Linked DNA regions of Mytilus edulis. The protein of the gene in region 2 interacts with the protein of the main gene of each other region in a pairwise test. Links are inferred from orthologs where the notes say so. Each region holds a gene or a part of one and is shown on either strand. Other genes may lie near its edges.

The links. The genes of interacting proteins can lie anywhere in the genome.
Region 1: the proteins of vacuolar protein sorting-associated protein 33B-like (region 2) and spermatogenesis-defective protein 39 homolog interact in binary tests that used the Homo sapiens proteins (3 or more experiments, as listed by UniProt). The link is inferred for Mytilus edulis from reciprocal best matches to the Homo sapiens genes VPS33B and VIPAS39.

The regions. Positions count from the first base shown.
Region 1 is NC_092346.1:44,775,047-44,783,113, forward strand, and holds the start of spermatogenesis-defective protein 39 homolog, read right to left. Parts: upstream 3,004-8,067; 5' UTR 2,891-3,003; coding exon 2,873-2,890; intron 1-2,872.
Region 2 is NC_092347.1:44,635,985-44,643,749, forward strand, and holds the start of vacuolar protein sorting-associated protein 33B-like, read right to left. Parts: upstream 3,128-7,765; 5' UTR 3,107-3,127; coding exon 2,972-3,106; intron 1,294-2,971; coding exon 1,213-1,293; intron 1-1,212. UniProt on the Homo sapiens protein: May play a role in vesicle-mediated protein trafficking to lysosomal compartments and in membrane docking/fusion reactions of late endosomes/lysosomes.

The DNA.
Region 1 (8,067 bases), on a different chromosome or scaffold from region 2:
GTTAATGGGAGTGTCTTTTTACCATAGAACACCACAGATTATCACAGAACACCACATTTTATTCAAAGCGTGTATATTGATTGGTGACTGTGGAAACTGTGCAGTAATTTTTTTTTTCTCAAAACTATTTTTTTAAATGTTTATTTTAGAGTTTAATTATGCCAATGTTAGTTGAGTGTTTAAAAGGTCTCCAAACATAAAAAAAAATATGCCAAATAACAAAACAATTATGATAATTTTTATCTCATTCAGTTGATCGTCATGTCATTGGTGTAACCTGATTCAAAGAATTAATATAATTTTGAATAATAAGATTTTCATTTTATAAAGTAATTTTAATGTTCTGTTGTGTATTTCAGTAGTTTTATTGTAATTTGTGTAGTTCTGTGGTATAATTTGAGTGTTCTGTGGTATTCTGTGCTGTTTTGTGGTAAAAAGACACTACGTCTGTTAATCTATACTGAGATTCAAAAGGGGGAGGGTTGAGATCTAGAAGTACAAAAGTTAGTTTTACCCAACCACATTTCCATATACATTTACAGTTTATTTCTTCCTCTGTGATATGTTATCCTGGGGATAATTGGATAATTTGTCACCATAATTTCTTTCCAGACATGGCATTTCACAGGTAGATTTTTTTTCCATAGGAGTGAAATTCTATCTGTCTTCTGCGGATAGTATTTACCAGTACAATGTACATGTATATATATTTTCTGTTCCATATTTCACAGAACCTTGTGAAATAGAGTCCCATTGTCTACTATGTGAGGAACTCACAATCAATATGTATACCTGACCAAATATTTATAAATGTTTTCACCAAGATAGTTCATATTTGCATAATCTATCAATCAAAGGGAGGTAATTATGAGCCATTTATATTTTAGATATTATATTTCGTAAATTAATCTATTTCATATTAAAATTTTTCCTTTATTCTTAATTTTTTAAACTAATTTATATAAACAGATGAATTAAAACATTACTAAATAAGACATAAAATATTTCACAGGTAAATACTATCCACAGGCACTTGTTTCTATCAATGGGAAGACCCACTATCAACGTGAAATTATTTCTGATTTTAATACATGTACATATATTTTGTTTTTTATTTACAATTTAGCTTACATTGAAATACACTATTATTAATCCAAAGTATTTGAAAAAATATCTGTTAATTTATATAAACAGATGAATTAAAACATTACTAAATAAGACATAAAATATTTCACAGGTAAATACTATCCACAGGCACTTGTTTCTATCGGTATCAGGTCTGTTCGCGCCCAATATAGTTTCGCACCCTACACGTTCGCACCTCACATTTTCGCCCCCCATGTCTGTTCGCACCCTACATGTTCGCGCCCAATTTTTAATAAAATTTTAGTTAAATTATTAGAAATTATTTATATGAATATAACAAATAATTGTATTCTATTTGAATAAAATTTGAGAATTTATCGAATAGAATTTTTTTTTTTTTATTAATTTGATGATTAATTATTAAGTGTTGATTATGTATGATTATTGCTAATTGGTATTTATACACAGCCTAATTTGGTGTTATTGTTTACTGTTTATAAATCATGATTGTTGTTTTAAATTGCTTTGATGTAAATACTGCATGTATTTAGCTTGGTATGAGTACATGGAGTAAAACTTTGAAGATTTTAAATAAAAAACATGAAAGAAAATTGTTTTTAACAGCTTGGCTCCTTTGATCCTTTGACACCAAAAAACCATGCATACCATTTGTTCAACATGTTGTCAGATTCGCATTTAATTGACTAGAAACAGTGAAAAACAAATTATTTCAATACACTACCCAAAACATGATTAAGAATTATTCAACACAAAAAGGAAATTGTTGTTATTGTTGCCAGAATATCAGAATCAGACTTAAAAACAAAAACTTTTTTTTTATAAACTTGTCATGACACAAAAAGACTTGTCAGTATCTCGAATTATTTAGAAACAATGGCATATATATTTATACCAATACACCTACAAAAAATCGGTAAAACTGGGTGCGAACGTGTGGGGTGCGAACGGACTTTTCGCAAAATTTGGGTGCGAACATGTGGGGTGCGAAAGTGAATGGGGGCGAATGTGGATGGGTGTGGATGGGTGCGAACGCAATTGGGCGCGAACAGACCCGGATTCATTTCTATCAATGGGAAGACCCACTATCAACGTGAAATTATTTCCGATTTTAATACATATATTTTGTTTTTTATTTACAATTTAGCTTACATTGAAATACACTATTATTAATCCAAAGTATTTGAAAAGATTAAGTTTTTTTTTTATTAACTATTCAATATTTTAACTTCCTAGATAGAATTTCATGGCAATGGAAAATATATCACAGTGAAATATTTTCCTCTGGATAAAAAAATAATGTTCAACAACTTCTGTAACATGTTCCTGCCGGATGGAATTTCAGCTGGATACTTTACACTAGTAACTGTCAATATTTTGAAAACCTTGTTGAATGTTATCTTTATTGTTTTGATTTCGTTATAATAATTTTGGATAATGACTAATGTTTGAGTTTTTGACAGACCTTTAAGAAAAATAAGAGATGCGACATGATTGCCAAATGAGAAAAAAATCCACTGAGAGACTGAAGAACGAGGGTGTAAGCAAACACCACATACATTTTTGTTTAATTCACATTCAGTGGCGGATCCAGAGGGGTTGGGTTCGGGTGGTGGTGGATTGGACCACCCCCACCCCCCCCCCCCCCCCCCCCCTTTTTTTAGACGATCAATGCATTTTAAAAATAGAAAGTTCCTGAATCACTCACTGAATGGGGACATATGGTTGGGACGTTGAACGTTAACAGTGTAAATAAACAAACATTAACCTTCCTTAAAGACGACATAGTACGAGTTCAATCTTCTGATTTTACTGGATTTTGTTTACATCAGTAATGGAAAGGCGAGTAGAGGAGATGAGAAAGCAACTATTCAACCAGTCTATATTATTCTAGTTTTCGGTCCACTCTCGAAACACAAGTGATTTTTTTCCGGACATATTACGTTATGAAAGACGATCGATTGCCAAAATAAAGAACCTTGGTGGGGAACATTCACAAGCTATGTAGCCATTGTAGGGGACAGATAAAACATTTTCGATATTTTAATGTTTTTTTTACTTAAAGTTGATTTAAAAAAAAAAATTATTAGCTACATTAATTAATTTTACGATGTGAAAATTTCACCATAAAGTTTCAAATATAATCGTTGATCCTACAAAATTTCAAAAAACATGAAAATAATATAATCTTTTTATTAAATAATAATTCATACACAATCCTAAAATTGACTTCCTCTTTCATCTCAGACAGTTTGAACCTGCGTAAAGCAGAACAAACTCTATAAAATTGTCAATATGTCTAATTCATAATCATTGTTTATAATATTACATATTAATATAGTCATTATTTTCAATACTTATTATGTTTGACCAACTATGTAATTGATATACCATGAGCCTTAGGGACGACATCAAAAGTTCAATGAAGGATAAAAAACTTAATTCAAATAGTTTTTTCACTGACCCCCCTACCCCCTATTAACTTAGTTTGGGAAAAATTAATTGACCCATATGGATATATGTAAAAATCAATGTCGGATAACCAAATCTTGCAGCAGTTCATCTAATAAAACATAATATCACATTTTAAGAATATGCTTGAGATACAATTTAGGGGGAAATAACTAGATTTTATCAATTTCGAAAATGTGTTCAGCTAGTCAAAAATATTCGTTTGATGTGTTTGGGCTTGTTATCATTGGTGCAAAAATTGAGTGTAAACAAACATGTCCCTTAAAAACCATCAGTGGAAAACAAGATGTGCCCTTGATGAACCAAACCATCAAGCGACTAACCAGAAAACGTGAAGGCAGATACAATACAGCTTAAAGATACGATACATCAGAACACTTGGGGGGGGGGGGGGGGGGGGTACATAGCTGTTCAACAGCTAGAGGTATTGTCAAGCAGACCATGTGAGAGGCCCACGATAGATACATCAGTGGCATATTAAACGATGACAATGGTAATGAAGAACAGAAAAAGCCTATCATGGGAAAGAAATTCTGGTAATACAACATCTAGTCCAGGTAAAAAGACACAGTCAACATATATCAACCTTGAAGAACAGAAGTAAAAGACAGGAAGGTGACAGCTGCTATACTTAATGAACAGTATGATAGTGTATTCACAGACGAAAATATGAATGCAATGCTATCTCTTGGAAAAAGCAATCGAAGACAAAGACAAACTAAGAGTAACAGCAAATGGCATAAACAAACTACTTAGAAAGCTGGACACATAAAACAAACTGTAGGGCCAGACATGATACCATCTCGGATCCTAAAAGAGGCAGCGGACAAAATATCACCATTCCTGACAAACATATCTTACCAGACCGGCTTTGGTATCTGGGACAGTACCACTAACTGGAATCTAGCTAACATCACAGCTATCTACAAGAAAGGTGATCGCACACGAGCATTCAACTACAGGCCCGTCTCTCTAAGCTCTATATGCTGTAAAACAATGAAACACATCATTTACCGCCATGTAATGTACCACTTGGAAAAAAAGCATTTTAGGGGACTACGAACACGGTTCCAGACAACATTGCTCCTGTGAAACTCAACTGTTCAGTAAACATCATAGATTCAGTCGCACGATCTTTGGATATGATAGAGCAAGTAGATATGCTAGCTCGTCTTATATTTTTCAAAGGCATTTGACACAGACCACATTAGCGGCTATTACAGAAAATGAGCTACTACGGTATCCGAGGAGATGCTCTGAGCTTGATAAGCGCATGGCTTACAAACGAAATCAACGAGTTTGTGTAGAAGGCGAAATTAGTGAGACGAAAGCAGTACGTTCCGGTGTATCCCAGGTGACGTTCTTTGGACCCCTATGTTTCCTGCTGTAAGAAGGAACGTAAATAAGTGTCCACAAGATGTACACGCAGAAAAGGAGCCAGGCTTATACTCCCGTATAACATCCTACATGGAGAAACATCGGTCATCATTCCAGATTATATCAAGAGACCAACCGTAACAACCAGACAATACCACAGACACAGGTTTTCCGATATAAAAGAGAGCGCATACAAAACATTAGTTCGACCCCACCTTGAGTATGCATCTGAGATGTGGGGCCCATATAAAAGGTGCCACATAAACCAAATCGAGATGGTACAAGGAAGAGCTGCCCGATTTGAAACAGCAAACCATACTCGGGAACCAGGAACTGTTACCAAAATCCTACAGACACTTGTCTGGCCAACCATAGAAACACGCAGAAAATATTGGACAAAAAGAATTAGGTGCATTATTTTTAATCATGAAACAACACGTTATAAAGAACTAATTGAGGAATTTAATTGTGGTCTGTGACCTTATGTCTGTTTTTTTTTGTTCACACATCGTTGTCAATATAATGGAATTTGATGCGACTGGCATACAAGTGAGAGGTTAAGCTAGATATAAAACCAGGTTAAATTTAATCCACCATTTTCTACATAAGAAAATGCCTGTACCAAGTCAGGAATATGACAGTTGTTATCCATGACCCCCAATTAGAGTCATCCAATTGTTTGATGTTACGGTAAGGGACTTTCCGTTTTAAATTTTGCTCGGAGTGCAATAATATTGTTTTTTACTTTTCGCAAACTAGTTTGAAACATAAAACCAGTTTGTCCATTGCAATCATTTGGTTGTGGTATCTGCAGATCAGATAAGGTGCTGCCAGGATTTAAAACTATTGAAATAACACATTTTTTTCTGCATGCAGAGAATATTTCACATTGTAGAAATGTATAGATAAACCTTAACTCTGGTGAACTGCATACATGTATATTTCTGACTTGCCGAACAAATTTTCGAAATTAAGGATATGCAATTACTTCCCCTAAATTGTATCTTAAGCATATTTTGAACTTATGATGTAATGATTAATTATTAATTAACTATTTAACATTATTACATTACTAAATATAATTTTAAATAGAAAACTTTTTGAAATCAATTATTTAATCTTGTTTGCATTAATGCAAACACATATTTGATATATACCGCTTTGAGAATTATAATTGTATCTTATATATGAAAAAGGAACACAGTTTTCCATTAGACGGACGGATGGGAGCCGTGGTATGACGTAAAAATGCACGTGATACCCCCGCTCGCTTATATAAATAAAATTTGTGTCGGCCTTTGTGCAAGGCTAAATAATGTATACCGAGTCAATATAAAAAAATTCAGGCCATCATCAAGTAAACCTTCAAGACCTGTTGGTGACCTTCTGCTGTTGTCTGCTCTATGATCGGGTTGTTGTCTCTTTGGCACATTCTCCATTTCCATTCTCAATTTTACTCTTCTATATTTCAAAGTAATGATGATCAATGATGTCCAAAAAAAAATGTTATAATTTTGCATTAAGCATTGGATCTGAAATTGCACCAACGGTTATAAAATGTGCAACTTACGTTACTTGCTGAATATATGTTATTGCTTAAAAATACAAAATCAACTTTAATTTTTTATAAATGAATGCAAAATTCAAACTATAGTACTTTAGAAATTTTATCCGACACTAATTAATGGTACAATAAAAATACTTTGCTGAGCGCAGCCTGATACGACCGCAGAGGTTGAACCCTGAACAGTTGGGCCAAGGTAGGCACTTAAAGTTAACCATCGAGAGACGTTAACCACCGAGAGTCGGTTTTTAGACCCGCCCAGTGCACTTAAGCACGCCTACTTTTGGAGCTCTTTAGTATGAAGATAAGAAAAATATACGAAATTACGGAACTGTGTACCTTGTTTTATCCTTCTTGTTGGTGTTTATTGCGCATGCGCACAAAGCACGGTGATAGTTACGGTTACTGACTCAGGAACCTTGTATTATATACCTCGGTTTACAGACGTTTAATAAACTGGATCCCTGTTGTGTTCACTTATCGATACACTACGATGGAATTACGGACCAGTTTAACATAAACATGGTAAATAGATAGACAGCTGATAATCATAATTGATTAAGAAATAACCTGGAAGAAGAAATGAGTTAACTATTGATTATAACAGAGATGAGAATGCCATCGTGTTTGTTCTGCTAAAAAAAGCAGGAACATTGGAGTTTATGGTTAGATTTTAAATATTTCTTGTCTCCAAACTGGGTAAATTTGATATATAGTAACAACCCCCCCCTTTTTTTTTTAAATAACTCGAGAACCACACATCGCGCTCGCTTAACAAAGTAACAATAAGAAATAATTATTGTTAGTTTCAAGAATAATTAATCGTCAAAACTTATCCCCTCCCCGACATCAAAGGAAGTTAAATGTATTATCCCAAAATTAGACCAAATTATTATGATGGATGGGGTTAAATGATTAAAGAATAATGCCCTTAAAAAATGAAGATTAGAGAATAATGGGCCAAAAAATTGAAGATTAGAGAAAAAAAGGGTTAATTTTTGGAAGATTAGAGAAAAAAGGGGTTAATTTTTTAAAGATTAGAGAAAAAAGGGGTGAAAATCAAATGTTTACAGAATAACAGACCCCCTCATCCAGACCCTCTATTATGATATAAGGACGTCTTGACAGGCTATTATTTTATTTTGTTTTGTTGGGTTTTTTTTTTGCTTTGACGTCTTCCTCCTGTATGAAAAAAACATAATATACCCCCCCCCCCCCCCCTTTTTCCCCATAATATATTTTTTTAAGAAGTCATAATTATTTGGACTACCCCTGAATATATTTCAGACAGACTCTTCTCTAAAAAAATGTAAACATGATTTTAGAGAAATCTTTGGAATAGTTTTTTAAATGATTTAATTATTATGTCATGTATATAATTAACATTAACATAGTTATAAACTGAGACTACTAGTATAACACATAGTGTTATAGTAGTCTCAGCTATAAACTTTCCATTGTATTGACCAATATGACTAACTCATATGCTCTTTCCCATAAATGTCACAATATCAATATATTACAGTAAAACTGATAGTTTGATGACATTG
Region 2 (7,765 bases):
TTACCGGATTTGTAATCACATAAGCAACACGACGGGTGCCACATGTGGAGCAGGATCTACTTACCCTTCCGGAGCACCTGAGATCACCCCTAGTTTTTGGTGGGGTTCGTGTTGTTTATTCTTTAGTTTTCTATGTTGTGTCATGTGTACTATTGTTTTTCTGTTTGTCTTTTTCATTTTTAGCCATGGCGTTGTCAGTTTGTTTTAGATTTATGAGTTTGACTGTCCCTTTGGTATCTTTCGTCCCTCTTTTTTTATAGCCAATTATATAGACAAAAGCCTCTGGCCTTTGTTAGTCTTGTATGATTTTAAATTTTAGTTTCTTGTGTATAATTCGGAGTTTAGTATGACGTCCATTATCACTGTACTATTATGCATATTTTAGGGGCCAGCTGAAGGACACCTACGGGTGCGGGAATTCTCGCTACATTGAAGACCCATTGGTTGCCTTCGGCTGTTGTTTGCTATATGGTCGGGTGGTTGTCGCTTTGACATATTCACCATTTCCTTTCTCAATTTTACAATAACTGTATAGTGTAATTAAATATCAGCTGTATTTGTAAGAGGTTAAGAAACAGGTGTAATGCAAGCTTTAGCTTGCAGACGAAACATGTGTCTGGCCTATTAAATTATAATCCTGGTATCTTTACTAACTATATATAAAATAAAAAGTGGACCAATTAATCATGATTAAAGTACATTTCTTTGCTGAAATCATAAAAATGTAAATATCATTCCATAAACATGATAAAATGTATACATATAGTGGACCAATTACTCATACTTTGGATTGATTAATATTTATTAAATACCAATTTTTGTGGATTCTATGGGTACAGGTGAATCACATTTTAAAGATTATTAAAAAGGAACTTGTTATAGCTTTGTATGAGGACTGGGGAATATGGTCAGGAGCCTGTAATTCAGTAGTTGTTGTTTGTTTATGTGATACATTTTTATTTTTGGTTCATTTTTTATATAAATAAAGCAGTTATTTTTCTCGTTTGAATTGTTTAACATTGTCATTTTGAGGCCTTTTATAGCTGACTATGTGGTATGGGCTTTGCTCATTGTTGAAGGCTGTATGGTTACCTATATTTGTTAATTTCTGTGTCAATTTGGTCTCTTTTGGAGAGTTGTCTCATTGGCAATCATACCACATCTTCCTTTTTATATATAGTATCAATAATAATATATCCGTTATAATAATACCTTAAGCATTGTAGCTCCAGCCACTCTGTCTAATGGTTTCATAAGCTCTTTATCCAGTACTAAATCTTTCTTTCCTTTGAACTGTTAAAAAAATAATAATTCTTAAATTACCAGATTGTCTCTATTTATAATTTCTTTTCATCAAACTAAATGTCTATACATAATGAAATAATTTAATTTTGGATGTAACGCGTCTTCTGATTGGCTGGCGTTATTTTGTTATCAGCCCATAGACATAATTTAGTCATATGACCGAGACGTCATCAACATTTTTCATGGTTTTCTACAGTTTAACATGGAATTTAGAATTGGAATTTAGAATTAAATTATAAGAAATGAATGCAATATTTTTTCTGTCTATTCGAAATAACATAAAAAATGTAGTGCTCACTGTTAAATAACCCGCTACGCGCGTTAATCAATGTGAACCAAATTTTTTATGTTATTTCTTCATAGACAGAAAAAATATTAGAGTCATTCCTTAAATAATTAAAATATGAATGTAAATTAACATCTTAGAGATACATTATTGTAATCAATATTGTTTTCATTTATACCTACAGTGGCGGATCCAGAAATTTTCATAAGTTGGGGCCCACTGACGGACCTAAGAGGGGGCCCGCTCCAGTCATGCTTCAATGATTCCCTATATAAGCAACCAAATTTTTTCCCAAAAAGAGGGGGCCCGGGCCCCCTGCCCCCCTAAATCCGCCTCTGACATAAAAATGTGAACATTCAAAATTTGTGAACAGGCAAAAAGGGCTGACTTATTTTTTTTCTTAAAATTTTAATATAAATATAAGGTGTTGTTTACCTACTATGTTTGTGGGTAGTGACATCAAGGCAAGCAAATGTGAACTTTTAGTGGTTTTGAACTAGCTGTCAAAAACTGTGAGTACTCTCAGTTCAGTACTTAGAGTCTTTTTGATGTTGCAATTGGGATGTACAAGTTCCTGGCTATTTTTGTAATATGTATTTCTATTTGTATCCTGCTTAATCCATCAGATGAGTGGAGCCTCTTTCAACTGATTTTTTATAGTTCATATGTTTTACTTTTACACCACTGTTCCAGGTTAGGGGAAAGGTTTGCATCCTGCCAATATGTTAAACCCCGACAAATTCTGTATACACGTGTATGTATCTGTCCCAAGTCAGGAGTCTATAGTTCAGTGGTTGTCCTTTGTTATAAGTTACATACAATTGTTTTTCGTTCATTTTTTGGGTTTTTTCAAATTATTTTTTTACAGTCTTATAAACCCAAAAATCGATTAAGAAAGAAGTTTAATTCTAGAAATTTTTAGTACTTGTACATCTTAGTTTTTTTTTCATTTTCTTAGACTAAAACAAAACATCCCCTTATCTCTAAGTCTCAGAGAGGCAGTCCAATATTTTTGTGATGCCCCTCATTTGGAGTGGTTCTCAACCTGTTACATGTACATGTTGTCAACATGGTCAACAGAAATAACAAAATTTCATCTCCAACATGGATTTCCAAGTTATCTAGACTTGTTTTTTTTTTAAAGGGGTCTCAATTAAACAGTGTGAATGCAGAGTTTCAAGTTATTTCTAATTAAGCATTCGACAGAAAATCAGATAAGAAAACAGAGCTCTCTGAACTCCGAATCCACTAAATCATTTAAGGCCAAAAAGTAAAATATCCTAACTTCACTCCAGATTTATTGTGATTTCTCGTTTTCAATGTCATAATACTTGTGGTACAATGTATGTAATAAACACTTTTAAATCTGATATTTCGTACAGAATCAAGCAGGGATGCAAGGTCATTTCGAACCATATCTCGTATTCTTTGAACATTTGGAAAATTTGTTGTTGATCCAGCCATTTTCTTGAAAATGAAAGCAGAACTAATTGTAATCCAAGTTCCGTGTACCATTGAAGTTCCGTCTTTTTAATTTTAAATATGGTATGTGTTTCAGTCGTGTTTTAAAGTATAGTGTTAATAGTTTCCGAAAGAAAACACATCAAAATGTATTATCGGAGCATAATATTATAAGTTCAACAATTTAAGTCTTGGTTTCAGTTGTCATGGTTTTTTGGAATTTAATGGATTTCAACAGAGACATATATATGTTGTGTACAAGTTATCATTTTGTACAAATTATAATTTGTACAAAAACATTGTACAAATTATAATTTGTATTTTGACTTTGTACAAATTGTAATTTGTACAAAAAGTGCCTGTACACATTATAATTTGTACAAAATAAGGCTTAATTTCACTTATAACTTGTACAATATTTTACATAGAATAAGTTTCAAATTAATTGATAAAAAATCATTTTCATTTTAATTACGAATCAATATGAGACACACTGATAACTCTATTTACAATACTATACAATAATATACAATGCTCTTATTTGTTGGAGCAGGTGAGCGAACCATGACACCTTGATTTACACAATACATTCTGCTTTTTGCATTTACAATTCGAATTGTTACAAACGCCTTTACATTTGCAAGAGAGATAACCCTGTCCACCAGTTTTTAAACAAAAATTCATAGCTTCCCTTAGGGAAAGTTTCAATCTGGAATTTGTGTAACGGACAAAGAAGAGTCACTGATTGATTCTAGTTGGTTTCTGCTTAAGACTCCTGATAAATTACCAGCTATTGTTCTTACACCATAGCCAAAATTTCCTACTTCCACACCAAAGAGAAGAAAAATGTCAAGTAATTTATAAGCGACTTTAGCAGCTCTTTTAGATTTCAGAGCTCTAAGGACGCTTTTAATAAGATGATCTTGATAGTGCATTATCCATTTAAATTCATGGTCGTTGGCAGATTGCAGGTCTACAAGGTCAACCTTTACAGTTGAAGTCAGCAGAAATTATAGGTTTAACAATAAGTTTTGATATGTCAGTACGTTTTCGATTCAAGATACATTGTTCACAGTTGGTTGTAAATATGCGTATAGCTTTCCGGCTAATGATCTGTGAAACAGTTAAGTTCATATGGTCTCCTGTTTTGTGACCTAATGTTCTTTAAATAATACTTGTACACCCTTATTAACTGTGATCATATAGTTACGATTTTAGGTTGATGTGCGGCCATAGTGACAGCAATCTTCTGTATGTAATACTGCATAGTATAATTTGATACATCGTCATGAACATGCATGAAAGATTTGCTATTGCAAGTTAAGCAACCACCAATCAATCACTTAAAATTCTAGGATTTGGTATACATGTACATTTTTTTTACTATTATTGTACAAGTTATAAGTGAAATTAAGCCTTATTTTGTACAAATTGTAATTTGTACAAGCACTTTTTGTACAAATTATAATTTGTACAAAGTCAAAATACAAATTATAATTTGTACAATTTTTTTGTTAAAATTATAATTTGTACAAAATGATAACTTGTACACAACATATATATAATACATTATATTGAATGAATTTTGCTGTATAGAACATTAATTTAAGATGGAAAAGGGGGTGTTATCGCTCGAAAATAGCAGCCCGCCCGCGGGCACCTTGACGCAATCGCCCAGTCTCTTATCATAAGAGGGTTCTGATTCCGCGGAAATCCTGGGCTTAAAACATGAAATTCTGAGGTCCAGGACATTTAAAAACCGACATTCCGAAATTAGAAACAATAATTCCCGGATTCTGAACTAAGGATCAATCCCAAAATCCCGATCCGTAAGTTAAAAACACCCGAACACGATGTTCCGAAAAAAGGCCCGGCCCCCCCCTCTTATAATAGCCCAGTTTCTGGTAAAATGATGATGGACATAAATTGGTAATTACTGGAAAATAGACGATTAAGATAGGTCTAGTTCTCTTTTACAAATTCAAACATGACAGTGGCGGATCCAGACGGTTGAAAAGGGGGCGGCCGGGGTGGGACGATCTATGCAATTGAATGGGGAAATGTAGTTGGAACGAACCCCCTTTTCTCTGTCCTTGGTTAGGACCCCCTTTTTTAAATGGCTGGATCTGCCTCTGCAGGAAATGGATAAAATCTTTCTTAGAAAACAGGAAACAACAAGTGCAGGGGCGGAATGATTATGAAAATAATAAACACGAAGGAAGATAGAGAGACTTTTATGATGAACTATTCAAGGTTATAATGTTGGAGAGTTTCTATTGTTTAAGATGCACATTAACCTAGATGAATAGAGAATAGAGTATAGACAATATTTTATTCGCACAAACACATTTACATTAAATGGTTATGGCATACAAAATTGAGACAATAAATTGACAACAGTTAATTAATTGATTATAATTATATTAGAGTGACAGTGGTATTCACAGCGAAGAAGAAAAAGGCTATAAATATCAACAGTTAACACATTGTTAATGTTCATGAACAATTAAAAAAGAACACAAACAAAAATTAGGTTGCATATTAAAAAAAGTTATACAGATGTTCTTAATAAAAGACAATCATTAATATACTTTATGGTGATTTTTATAATGACTGGTAGACTGCTATTTAAAAGTACAGTCAAATGATTTAGTGTTATAGTGGACTGCAATTTAATAAAATTGAAATTAAAATTTGTATTAATATTTTGTATATAGGTATCCCTTAATGATTTATAGCATGGACAGATTGAGAAGAAATGGTATTCATCATCAATTTCTTGTCTGTTACAGGATAAGCAAATGTGTTTACTTCTTTCAATGTTGGAATAACGCCCTCTTTCAATTGCTAGGGAATGCGCACTTAGTTTTTTACTGAAAACTGATCGGTCGGTTCTGAATTTACATATATCAATATATGGGGGCCTTTTTCTAATTCTTTTAGTATGACAAAAGATATTTAATTTTTCACATTTATTGATAGAACAATTCATAATTTGATAAGCCTGGTCATAGATTCTTTGTTGGATACTATTTATGTGATATTTTAAATTAAAAGTATTAAAAGTGAGATGACCAAAACCTAATTTATTTAACCAGTCTTTTACAATGTTAACCCATTTACTTGTTTTCTCTACGATGAATGGCACGTGCTCTTTCTATCATCTTGATTTTTGTTTAGCTATCAATGTCATGTATTCCAAAATGGTTTGCTATTTTCTTTGCTATCTAAATCCTATTCTATTGTCAACATAATTGTTGTATGATTTCATAAAATTTATACTCAGTCGTAATTTTTTTCGTATTTTTTCCATTTCTCACCTTTAAAATATTCCGTCCATATAAACATTTCTTTCCGTTCCGTTTTCCGTTTCCGCCAGTTAGCCACACCCGAAAATTCAAGTAATCTTTTCAAATTGTATTTATTAGTTAATAATACTTAATAAACATTGAAAATTAAATACACACTGATTCAAAATGAAACTTTACAGTCCCTGTCAACTAGTCCTATAATATATGAACTCGGGGGGGGGGGGGGGGGGGATTATTATCTATTTCTGTTTTCTTTTTACTAATTGTGCTATTTTCCTTAGGGCCAAGTCAGCTTTTCTCATCACTTTGCGTCCGGCGTCCGTCGTCGTCCGTCGTCGTTAACTTTTACAAAAATCTTCTCCTCTGAAACTACTGGGCCAAATTAAACTTGACCACAATCATCATTGGGGTATCTAGTTTAAAAAATGTGTGGCGTGACCCGGCCAACCAAACAAGATGGCCGCCATGGCTTAATTAGAACATAGGGGTAAAATGTTGATTTTGGCTTATAACTCTGAAACCAAAGCATTTAGAGCAAATCTGACGTGTGATAAAATTGTTTATCAAGTAAAAATTTATCAGCCCTGAAATTTTCAAAAAGAATCGGACAACAGCTGGTTAGGTTGCTGCCCCTGAATTGGTAATTTTAAGGAAATTTTGCTGTTTTTGGTTATTACCTTGAATATTATTATATAAAAAGAGATAAACTGTAAACAGCAATAATGTTCAGCAAAGTAAGATCTACAAATAAGGCAACATGACCAAAATGGTCAGTTGACCCCTGAAGGAGTTATTGCCCTTTATAGTAATTTTTTACCAATTTTTCGTAAATTTTTGTAATCTTTTACGAAAATCTTCTCCTCTGAAACTACTGGGCCAAACTTAACCAAACTTTGCCACAATCATTATTAGGGTATTTAGTTTTAAAAAAATGTGTCCGATAACCTGGCCAATCAACCAAGATGGCCACCATGGCTAAAAATAGAACATCGGGGTAAAATGTAGATTTTGGCTTATAACTTTGAAACCAAAACATTTAGAGCAAATCTGACAACTTGAAGGGATTTAATTGTTTATCAAGTCAATATCTATCTGCCCTGAAATTTTCAAATGAATTTGACAACCGGTTGTTGTGTTGCTGCCCTCAACCTCAAAATGGCAATTGGTAATTTTATCAAGTAAAAATCTATCTGCCCTGAAATTTTCAAATGAATCGGACAACCGGTTGTTGGCTTGCTGTCCCTGGATTGGTAATTTTAAGGAAATTTTTGCCGTTTTTGGTTATCTTGAATACTATCATAGATAGAGATAAACTGTAAACTGCAATAATGTTCAGCAAAGTAAGATCTACAAATAAGTGAACATGACCAAAATGGTCAGTTGACTTCTTAAGGAGTTATTG